Mytilus edulis: one gene and its partners. The protein of the gene in region 1 purifies or fractionates together with the protein of each later gene. This does not show direct contact. Links are inferred from orthologs where the notes say so. Each region holds a gene or a part of one and is shown in the gene's direction. Other genes may lie near its edges.

Region 1 (3,760 bases):
ATAAGATATCTTATAAACTATATAAGATATCTTATAAACTATTTAAGATATCTTATAAACTATATAAGATATCTTATAAACTATACAAGATATCTTATAAACTTTAGGATATATCTTATAAACTTTAGGATATATCTTATAAACCTTAGGAGATATCTTATAAACTAAATAAGATATCTCCTATAATATATAAGATATCTTATATCATTTCATTTCTATGAGATATCTTATATATTATATGAAATATCTTAAATATTATATTACACTAAATAGGCCAAGTTAACATTAAATAACAAAAAAAATCATTACAAATTATCTCAACAGGTCAAAATAACACGAAAGTACGATTCGAGAGTATTCGCAGTTACGGAAAGCTAAAACAGTTACTGAACACCAAAACAAATTAATGATAAAAAAATCATGCACCAGGAAGTAAAATCAACTAAAACACATCCCAGAGATTTAGTAATTTAAGGTTTATGACCCCTTCTGTTGCCATGTGAACAACAAGCATCATTATTTATTGTCCATTGCATTTATTGAATAGAAAAATAGGATTTTGTGATAAATAAAACCAAGATTTTAATAATACAAAGATTTTTCGTATGAAATTTTAAGCATAGATCACTCACTTGTGTTTCTATGATTTACTAGCGTTTATTGTTTATAGAAAAGTCATAAATAAACCTGATTATTAAAAAAAAAAATTGTGCTGATTCACATGTTAAACTTGAGTCGAGCGCACCATATATAACATTCATATACATGTACTTGTTTTAAGGAAATCATTGCTAGCACTGCATGCAATAATCCTCTATCTATCAAGCACCGAATTGCCAAAATTAAGAGTACGAGGAGGGAAGGCTGTCACGGGATTTTCTTATAAATTCTCATATGTTTCGTTTAACATTGATACAACACAAGGGTACATAATCCTTAACGTCATTATGAGTGGCCGTTCATGTCATTTGCGTGATAATATACGCGTATATAATCGCGCAAATGACACGAACGGCCACTCATACGCCGTCACGGTCATGAACAGACTGATAATGAAAAATGTCTAATGTGAAATATAGATAGAGTAATCTCGATATAAAAAATGAACGTCAGTGGATGTGTATTTATGACATTTATACATCACAAAAAAACGTTTGAAAAGAATACTTTTTACTAGTTTATTTAATGAATTTGAGCCTCGGTTGTTAAAGTATGTTTAGATTTTGAAGCACTATGACATATTAAAATTTAACCTCTTATGGGGGATTTTCTTGAGTCACAAATCTGTGAATTTTACCACATTTGAAACAGAGACTTTTTATACTAATTTAAAGAAAGTTAGTATAGGAAGGCTCTGCTTGAATCTACGAAAAACTCAGTTCCAGTTTCCGGATACTATACATGGCTGATCGCATTAGTTTTTCAAATTAAACTACTTCCACAATCGCATGCGCACATGAACAGACGCATGGCGTACTAAATCTAAATAAAACTAAATAAAAAGACTAAAACACCATGGTTAAGTTAACAGCTGAATTGATTGAACAATCTGCACAATATACAAACCCAGTTCGAGATAGAGAACTTGATCTCAGAGGTAAACTGACTGTCTCGAATCGTAAAAGATCACAATGACAGAGTTTGTCAAAAACACAACAAAATAATATAATTTTTCATAACTTAAACTTGGCTAATCAGTATTTTGTTAAGGCAGTTTAGTTTTTGCGAATGTATCTTTTTGAAACGTAGATTCATGCAAAATTGGTCGGAGTAGATTCTTCTGGTTTTGATATATTTCTTGTGTAAACAATGATAGGAGTTTGAAATCCTATCAATAAGGGGGTAAAAATATACCAAAGTCGACTATCACAGTAGAGCTTCTCTCGAAAATATACTGTGATAGTCGACTTTGGTATATTTTTACCCCCTTATTGATAGGATTTCAAACTCCTGTGAAACAATATACATACTCCACACCAAAAATATCGTCTCATAACTAAATCGTCTCACTTTTTCATCAAATCGCCACACTTTTAAAAATTATCTCCCCACTTAAAATGGACACACACTGGCCTACAAACTCTCCCAACTTATATAAAAAGGATTAAATCCTGTTAAATATAATCCTGGAGAATATATATATGTTTAAATTTTTTGCGCCTGTCCCAAGTCAGGAGCCTCTGGCCTTTGTTAGTCTTGTATTATTTTAATTTTAGTTTCTTGTGTACAATTTGGAAATTAGTATGGCGTTCATTATCACTGAACTAGTATATATTTGTTTAGGGGCCAGTTGAAGGACGCCTCCGGGTGCATGAATTTCTCGCTACATTGAAGACCTGTTGGTGACCTTCTGCTGTTGTTTTTTTCTATGGTCGGGTTGTTGTCTCTTTGGCACATTCCCCATTTCCATTCTCAATTTTATTAAAGGTCAGCCAACTCACCCCACTGATGAAAACTTATCTATGGTATGCCATAGTACTGAATCTTACTGCTGAATCTTTCTTTGTCCTTTAGGACAACCTCTTGGTAGAGTACAATATTAATATAACCCTCCACTATCCAGAATTATCAATATCATACAAATATGTATAATTTATATACAAGTCCGCACTGGGTGATTTAGTTGTGTGGTCTTGTTTCTAGTCCTGATATTTCATTTAGTATTTTGTTTTGTGTTATCATGCCACTGCTTGTGTTATTGACTTATTGTGCAAAGTTTGCACTGCAAACCTATCATAACAAAATAAAATTATGTGAACATATGTGAACAATGATTATCCACTTATTCTGTAAAACAGTGATTATATTATAAACCAGGAAAAAACCCCATCATAAACAGTTACAATAGTCAATTACATCGTCCTTCACAGAAACACTAATTCATCTTTCTGCTTTCTTTCAACCAAAAGAAAAGAGTTTAAAAAAACTAAGATGCATTTCTAAGGTATTCATAACCATTTTATTAAATTTAACAGTTGGGCGTGTTGGCAAACCTATAATGCTATGAGAATGAGTTCTTTTTCATGAATGTAAGAACAGTCTTTACTAGCGTAGTAGACTGTCCTTATAAGTCGGACAAGATGGCATGAATAAATAAATCATGGTTTTTCTATTTTTAATAACTGGGTAGAACAGCAGACCTTTTTTTCAGCGTGATTTGTTAACCTTTCCTCCATTGAATTTTTTTGTTTGCATACCTGATTCGCATAAGGATTTCTCAATAAAATGCTAAAAATATGCTTTAAAGTATTAATGCATTGCGAAAAAACAAATAATTCATCAAATAAATTAAAGTCGGATATTCCTACGATATTCCTTTTCATATTGGATACAAATTTTATTAAGTCTACTGCAGACACTTTGTAGTCAAAGCGTTTCAACTGAGGTACTACACAGGCATCAAAAGGCGTCATTATGGAGTAAAGGGGGTGGCGTCAAAATGATGATTTATTTATCACTTTTTAATTTATCAACATAGTTTCTGACCAGTGGAAATGTTACATTAGAGGACAATGACCCAACATACATGTACTCTTCTCTTTTAAGTCTCACATCTTTTGCCTATCAGTTTCTTAGAATTCTATGAGAATGCATTCTTTTTCATGAATGTAAGAACAGTCTTTACTAGCGTAGTAGACTGTCTTTAATAAGTGGGACAACATGGCATGAATAAATAAATCATGGTTTTTCTATTTTTATGCCCCACCTACGATAGTAGAGGGGCATTATGTTTTCTAGGGGCATTATGTTTTCTGGTCTG
Region 2 (3,760 bases), on another chromosome or scaffold:
ATATGTCATGTTTTGAATTCCTGCATCTGCGCAGGAATCTACAATATACTTCCTTTATCAGTCATGGGACTTACTTAAATAAGTGATTTTCTAAATCACTGATTCAAGTAAGATTATTTCCATAAAGGTTGGAAGTTAGAGTTGTCTTTCTTTAATAATCATCTATTTAAGTAGTACATTTTGTACACGTACAAATAAATCACTAGAAGAAGTGATTTAATTTTATTATAGCTTTAAATATAGAATACTAATGATCCAGGGACTAATTATGTTTCTTAACTTATCAGAACCAACATCTGTGTTGTCTAGGATGACCAGGTCATTTCAGGTGATGACCTTGTACTGAATCTTGGATAATGACATAAAAATCACTTGTTTAAGTATCAGACCTCAATTTCCTTCCCAAAAATCACTTCTTTAAGTATCATTCTTTTAATAACCCCCACTAATTTCAACACCCCCGAACAGTGAAATTTTTAATTGCGAACAGTAGAATTTTATGACATAATCTGAAAGATTAAACCTTGAACTTCACAGGAAAAATACCCCCACTGCTGGGAAAAATCTTTTAAGAAAGTCTCAGTTCGTTATGTAAAGCCATTATTATAGCATTTTTTCAACTAAAATTGAATTTACGGCTAAATGATAGCATCAAAGTCATGAACCTTGCTATTTAAAAGAAGCAAAAAGTTCATTTTTTTATAATTTTACTAATTAAAAGATATTATTTAAACCTATGTGTTTAAAATTTTGAAAAAACTACAAAATCCCAATTTGTGACAAAACCTCAAATTTGATACTCAAATAAGTGATTTAAAAATCACTTATTTCAGTAAGTACCCTGACTGTTTGTATGAAACTTTGAGTAAAATATATATTTATCAGTCTAGTATAAAATAGGAAGAAACGCAATACCAATTTCATTTTCAATAATTCCTTGATATGAAAAAACGTTACTTGATGATAGCGTTTCTTTGTTTACATTGCATATGATGTCATAACTTAAATAACGTCAAAACTAAAATCCCTAACAACAGAACCAAAATCAGAAATGTTACGGTATTTCCGTTTCTTTTTTTTTAACAAATATTTAAGTTACAAAAAAAAATTCATACAGGCTTCGTCCCCATTTGCATGTAATGCCTGCCTTATATTAGTGTCAAGTAAACACTCACTTAAGTTAGTTAAGACTAAAGAACAAACATGAAAAAGGAGAAGAAAAGAACAAGGAACGTTTTAACCTGATGTGTGTATAATGATTTCGATATTTTTTGGCCATTTACCAGTGATTTAAATGTTATTTCTTCTTCTTCTGTATCATTTTCTGGAACCACGTTGTTTTCACAAATTGCTTCGGATGCCATTTTCAATGTAATTATAGAGCTATTATCTTAATGTTTAATTTTCGGTCTTTTAAACGTTTCGATCACCTAGAAGAATTTCATATTTAAATAATATTCTTTCAAAACGAACTTAAATCATTTACATTTATTTTCTCTTTTAAAATAATGTAATTATAATCATAATTTATAACATATATTAGAAAAAATATAAAACAGAGATTTATTGGTTTAACTGTTATATTGACACTGCATAGACTGCATTATATAAAAATTCGTTTTTGCTTAAAATTTGCAAAACTGTAGAACGTTTCTAGACGATGGCAAAACATCACCCAGATTTGATTTTCTGTAGAAAACAGCCAGGGGTTGGTCAGTATTACCTGCTTGTTATTCAGGTTGGGGATGGGGATTATCGTTTGTAATGCAGTATTATCCTGAATGAGGATGAACTGATGAAAATAGTCAATTCGGCAACTGGGGTGATATGCAAACCACTCAAAATAAAAGACAGGACAGGGATTACAACTAAAAAAAAAAGCAGGACAAAAATTTTCATCCTAGCCCCCCCCCCCCCCCCCCCCCCCAAATGTAGATATATTTTTTAATTTTTGGAAAAATATGTTAAGCACAGTTGCCACCTAATAGTATGTATTTTAAAGTACAAGTGAGTTGTTTACCAGAGTGAAATATAAATACACGCGAGATTTAAATAATTACAAGGGAGACAATCCAGTGTCAACAGCGACACCTACAGAATACAGAATCACTTTCTATATGATGTATAGCACAAATTCTTATCAATTAATACTTATTTCTTGTCAAAATTTTAAATGCGCATCCAAAAGTGGCAAAACAATCAACTTAGGCCTAAAATAAAATATTGTTTGTTTCCCCAATCCCGACAGACCCTGAAAAAACGGTGCTACTCATAAAATTTTATTGTCACAGCTAAGTCAAATATTATTTTATTCATTTCCAATTTTTCATGTTTGCCGGATTGATAGTCCAAATAATTATGACGTCTTGAAAGGCTATTATAATTTTTTTCTTTGACGCCTTACTTCGACGTCATAATGCTGAAGCCGCCATTTTCGGTTGGACTTTGAGAGCATATTTTGCTCTCAACTTTGAGACCCAATTTAGCCATCAAATTTTCAAAGAAGGCTAAAACAAAATGCATATATAAAAATTCTTACCTTTTATGTGTTTGTTTTACGAAAATATTTCCAATTAATCCCTACAGAAATAATAATATAAGTAACAATTCCATCCGAGGCGGGAACATGTCGACTGCATTTTTTAAAACGTTTGTCGGATTTCTTTTTAGGAGATTATAAAATAATTTTTACACCAAACTCGGTAAAACCCGAATTTCCGGAACCATTGTTTTACATTATCCGGAAATTCAGGTTGGTCAAAATGTACCGAGTTTGGTTCAAAAATATATTTTGTACACCTTAAATGAAGCATCTTGAGGAGAAATCAGCTAAACGTTTTTATAAAGCAGTAAATTCCCTATCAAAGTCCAACTGAATATATGAGTTTGGCGTTATGACGTCGAAGTAAGGCGTCAAAGAAAAAAATTATAATAGCCTTTCAAGACGTCATAATTATTTGGACTACCGGATTGACAGTTATTGTTACAGCTTTTTGGAAAAAATAAAAATATTTCCCTACCTACCTACATGCCTACCCACACCTGGCTTGGGGAAACAAACAATTTATTAATTTAGGCCTTATTGATGGTGGCTGCGTATTGGTAGAACTTGAAGTAGAAGTAGAATAGGGGGTCTCATTGGGGGGTTCCGATCCCGTATCCCGCTTACTGTTTTGTCAGATTCCTGTATCCCGCTTACACAATGTACATAAGCAATTTTATTTTTTTTGTCATTTCCTGTGTCCCGCTAGACCTCATTTCCCGTTTTCCCGACAATAATTTGACTTTCATGTGTCACGCTTACATAAAATCGGCAATCCCACGTCACTCTAGACCCCAATGAGACCCACAGAATAAGATTAAGATATCCAATCGTAGTTCTATTTTTAAAAAAAACTTTGGCTCTATCTGTTAGAGCGCTGTCTTAAGATCCCAAGATGTGAGGGTTCAAATTTCACTGGAACAATCCATAGACTTTCACAATAAAACTATGACATTTAAATTAAAACAAAAAAACAAAACATGCCTATCATGTGGGTCTCATAGGGTTCTAAGCTTGACACTGGATTTTTTTTGTAACCATGTTGCGTTAAAGTTAAATTATGTTGCCGTGAAAAAACAGGAAATTACGAAAAAAAAAGAATTGCTGACATGCATAGTCTAAGCGGGATAAGAGAATCTGACAAAACAATAAGCGGGATCCGGGATCAGAACCCCCTATTGAGACTGCCTATTATTTAAAACAACCAGTAAACATGAG
Region 3 (3,760 bases), about 110 Mb from region 1:
TATCTCATGTCCCGTAGTCTCTGTCGTGTGGAGCAGCTGATAAGACCTAATCATCTCATGTCCTGCAGTCTTTGTGTTGTGGAGAAGCTGATAAGACCTCATCTCATGTCCTTCAGTCTTTGTGTTGTGGAGAAGCTGATAAAACCTTATCTCATGTTCTGTAGTCTTTGTCTTGTGGAGCAGCTGATAAGACCTAATCATCTCATGTCCTGTAGTCTTTGTGTTGTGGAGAAGCTGATAAGACCTCATCTCATGTCCTTCAGTCTTTGTGTTGTGGAGAAGCTGATAAGACCTTATCTCATGTCCTGCAGTCTTTGTGTTGTGGAGAAGCTGATAAGACCTCATCTCATGTCCTTCAGTCTTTGTGTTGTGGAGAAGCTGATAAGACCTAAATGCATGTCCTGTAGTCTTTGTGTTGTGGAGAAGCTAGTAGGACCTAATCACATGTCCTTCAGTCTTTTTGTCATAGAGAAGCTGATAGAACCTAATATTATGTTCTGTAGTTTTTGTGTCGTGGAGAAGCTGATAAGACCTCATCCTATGTCCTTCAGTCTTTGTGTTGTGGAGAAGCTGATAAGACCTAAATGTATGTCCTGCAGTCTTTGTGTTGTGGAGAAGCTGATAAGACCTAAATGCATTTTCTGCAGTCTTTGTGTTGTGGAGAAGCTAGTAGGACCTAATCACATGTCCTTCAGTCTTTGTGTCATAGAGAAGCTGATAGGACTTATATTATGTCCTGTAGTCTTTGTGTCGTGGAGAAGCTTGAAGAACCTAATGTCATGTCCTGCGTTCTTTGTGTTGTGGGGCAGCTGATAGGAAAGAATTTCGTTCCCTTCAGTGGAGAAGCGGAAACCCGGATCTATCATGCCCTTCAGTGTGTTATCAGTGGAAAAGCTGGTACCAGTTCTTCTCTGGTCCTAAAATGTTGAAATATTGAAGAAGCTGTTACCAGACAATCTCAAACCATTCAGTGTTTCGATAGTGGAAAAGCTGAAACCAGGCTTCCCTGTATGTCCTTTAGTATTATAACAGTGAAGAAGCTTATCAGACTGTCCCACTTAGTTCAGTGTTGTATATAACAATGTGCAGAAATTGGTACCAGGCTATCTCTTACCTTCAGTTTTGTAACAGTGCAGAAGATGATGAAAGGCTATATCCTGCCTTCCAGTGTAAATTGTAACAATGTGCAGAAGATGATAATCATCCAGTGTTGTAACAGTGCAGAAGATGATAAAAGGCTATATCCTGCCTTCCAGTGTAAATTGTAACAATGTGCAGAAGATGATAAACATCCAGTGTTGTAACAGTGCAGAAGATGATGAAAGGCTATATCCTGCCCTCCAGTGTAAATTGTAACAATGTGCAGAAGATGATAATCATCCAGTGTTGTAACAGTGCAGAAGATGATAAAAGGCTATATATATCCTGCCTTCCAGTGCTGTAACAGTGCAGAAGATGATAAATTGCAATATCCTGCCCTCCAGTGTTGTAACAGTGCAGAAGAGGACAAAAGGCTATATTCTACCATCCAGTGTTGTAACAATGAAGAAGATGGTACCAGTTTTTTTTTTATATTATGATAACTTAAACGATTTTTTTTAATTAACATATAATTATCTGAAACCATAATAGATTTTTTTTCAAAATCATACCTAAAAGTTAAGTTCATAACACTATATTTACCCTTCATATTTTGGGCGTTAAGTTACAACATTATTTTTATTTATCAGATAAAATAAGAAATATAAAATTATAACACTAATCTGGACTGGGTTGCACAAACGTCTATTAAAGTTAATAGTCTATTAAAAGTACACTTACATTTAATAGTCTATTATTTGTGTTGCACAAATTTTAATTAGCGTTAATAGTCTATTAACTCACTATTAAATTTAATTGAACGAAGGAGCGCTATTAAAACCTTAATTGTACATCTAAAATTGATGCCATGCAAGTGCTTGGATTACCTGTAACCCAAAATCAGCCGAAAAAGTACCGTGACAGGCTTTTCAACTCGATGATTTGTCAGACTGAGAGCTTCGCACAGCCGGTGATATCCCACATTGTATGATTTCGCAACAAAAAGAATTGTTTTGGTTATCATTAAAATAATAAGAGAAAGAAAAGATAAAAATTGAGAAGTTCTTGAAGCATAAATGAGATATGAATGGGGTGGTGACGGGGAGGGGAATCAGAGGGGGCCTGGTCCCGAAATCAAGGTCTTAAAAGTATGTTATCCCGAGGTCCCGAATTTAAAGAAATTTAAATCCTGATATTCCGAAATTTGAAAGTAGAACCGGATCAAAAAAGGTCCTGCCCTCCTCATGAATCTATTAGGGGAAAATGGTTTTATTTTAAATACGGCAAATATCATTGAACTGATGACAAAAAAACTTTTGCCCGCATCCTTGGAAGTCCGCTCCAAGGTTCAAACTGAACTGTATTTCTTAGAAAAAGATCGTATAAAGTCCCGGTCAAATTTCGGAAACACGTTGCACATAATATTGTGAGTAAAATCATAAATTTAGAGGAAGATTTACAGTTATAAGTTTTCATACGTTTTTCACAGTGGAGCCAAAATTCATGAAATGCGCGGATACACAGGACTGTGCATCGTACGATAACAATATTATACCGTCAATGATTAAACCAGACTGAGTCTTTGCTATGAAATAACAAATAGGACCAAATGTGTTTTAGGTTTTCTTCGTAAAATCTACATCCAGCAGATCAATATTGGTGTCAACATTGAAAATTAATACACATTTTCCCTGAAATAGGTTGTATAAATGAAGAATGTAATCTCCGTTGACGTTTTGATAAAGAGTGCTTTCTTTCACGTCCGCATTTCTATCAAGTATGGCACGCCAAGTTAACATTTTAATGATTATTACAGATAGGAAACACAAATAACAGAACAGTGCATGCACAATATCATACATTGTTATTCGTAGGACATACGAGAAACTACGTGGTGATTTTTATATATTACACAGTAAACTAATGTAGATTTTTTTTAATTAAATATGGCATAGTGTAGATTGTCCCTAATATTTATAACCAATAATTCATATTTAACATTTTTTTTCCATCTGAAAACTGTAATATAGATGAAAAAGAAAGTATCCGACACTTTTGTGAATCTTGGGTATAAACTTCAAATAAATATATGATATTGACATGTGATGGTGTTCATAATAACATAAACAATTATTGGATTTATGGGGGTCAACGGACGTCAGCCAGGTATTCCGACACCCCACTGGTCCAACACCCCATAAGTCCGATAAAGATTAATAACTGCCGCAATAGAAAATATACTTCATGAGTAGAGGTTTATGAGGATGTGGATGTGGATTTACAGAAAAGAGAAAAATGGGGGAGGGGGGATTTAAAAAATAGAGAAAAATGAGGTCCTAAAATAATGGGCAAAAAGTATAAAGAATAGAGAAAATGGCAAACATTTGAAAGAATACAGGTACAACCCCCCTCCCCAATCCAGACACCCCTTGGTAGAATAATTGTTGACATGCGTTCTAATTTCACAGAAACAGATTTTAGCATGCCACCTATCTGGTATAACTATCAAAGAAATACCATGACCATATATATGCATATAAAGAAACTGAATACCTTGCAAGTTTTGGTAAAAGAAGATCTATGGGAACAAATTCTACTAAAAAAAAAGAAACGTCATCAGCAGAGCAGTCTCTCTTCATAAAGACAAATCATAGTGATCAAGGAACGACCATTTAGCTTC

The links. Proteins that work in one complex are often made in the same cells at the same time.
Region 2: the proteins of U2 small nuclear ribonucleoprotein A'-like (region 1) and PHD finger-like domain-containing protein 5A purify together in Homo sapiens (affinity purification with mass spectrometry; 4 studies listed by BioGRID and IntAct, with this or other methods). This does not show direct contact. The link is inferred for Mytilus edulis from reciprocal best matches to the Homo sapiens genes SNRPA1 and PHF5A.
Region 3: the proteins of U2 small nuclear ribonucleoprotein A'-like (region 1) and splicing factor 45-like purify together in Homo sapiens (affinity purification with mass spectrometry; 5 studies listed by BioGRID and IntAct, with this or other methods). This does not show direct contact. The link is inferred for Mytilus edulis from reciprocal best matches to the Homo sapiens genes SNRPA1 and RBM17.

The regions. Positions count from the first base shown.
Region 1 is NC_092344.1:117,060,406-117,064,165, reverse strand, and holds the start of U2 small nuclear ribonucleoprotein A'-like, read left to right. Parts: upstream 1-1,434; 5' UTR 1,435-1,515; coding exon 1,516-1,597; intron 1,598-3,760. UniProt on the Homo sapiens protein: Involved in pre-mRNA splicing as component of the spliceosome. Associated with sn-RNP U2, where it contributes to the binding of stem loop IV of U2 snRNA.
Region 2 is NC_092352.1:52,171,312-52,175,071, forward strand, and holds the start of PHD finger-like domain-containing protein 5A, read left to right. Parts: upstream 1-1,602; 5' UTR 1,603-1,660; coding exon 1,661-1,712; intron 1,713-3,760. Other genes in the region: probable ATP-dependent RNA helicase DDX47, read right to left, coding at 1,284-1,364.
Region 3 is NC_092344.1:3,347,500-3,351,259, forward strand, and holds the start of splicing factor 45-like, read left to right. Parts: upstream 1-1,440; 5' UTR 1,441-1,455; coding exon 1,456-1,554; intron 1,555-3,760. UniProt on the Homo sapiens protein: Splice factor that binds to the single-stranded 3'AG at the exon/intron border and promotes its utilization in the second catalytic step. Involved in the regulation of alternative splicing and the utilization of cryptic splice sites.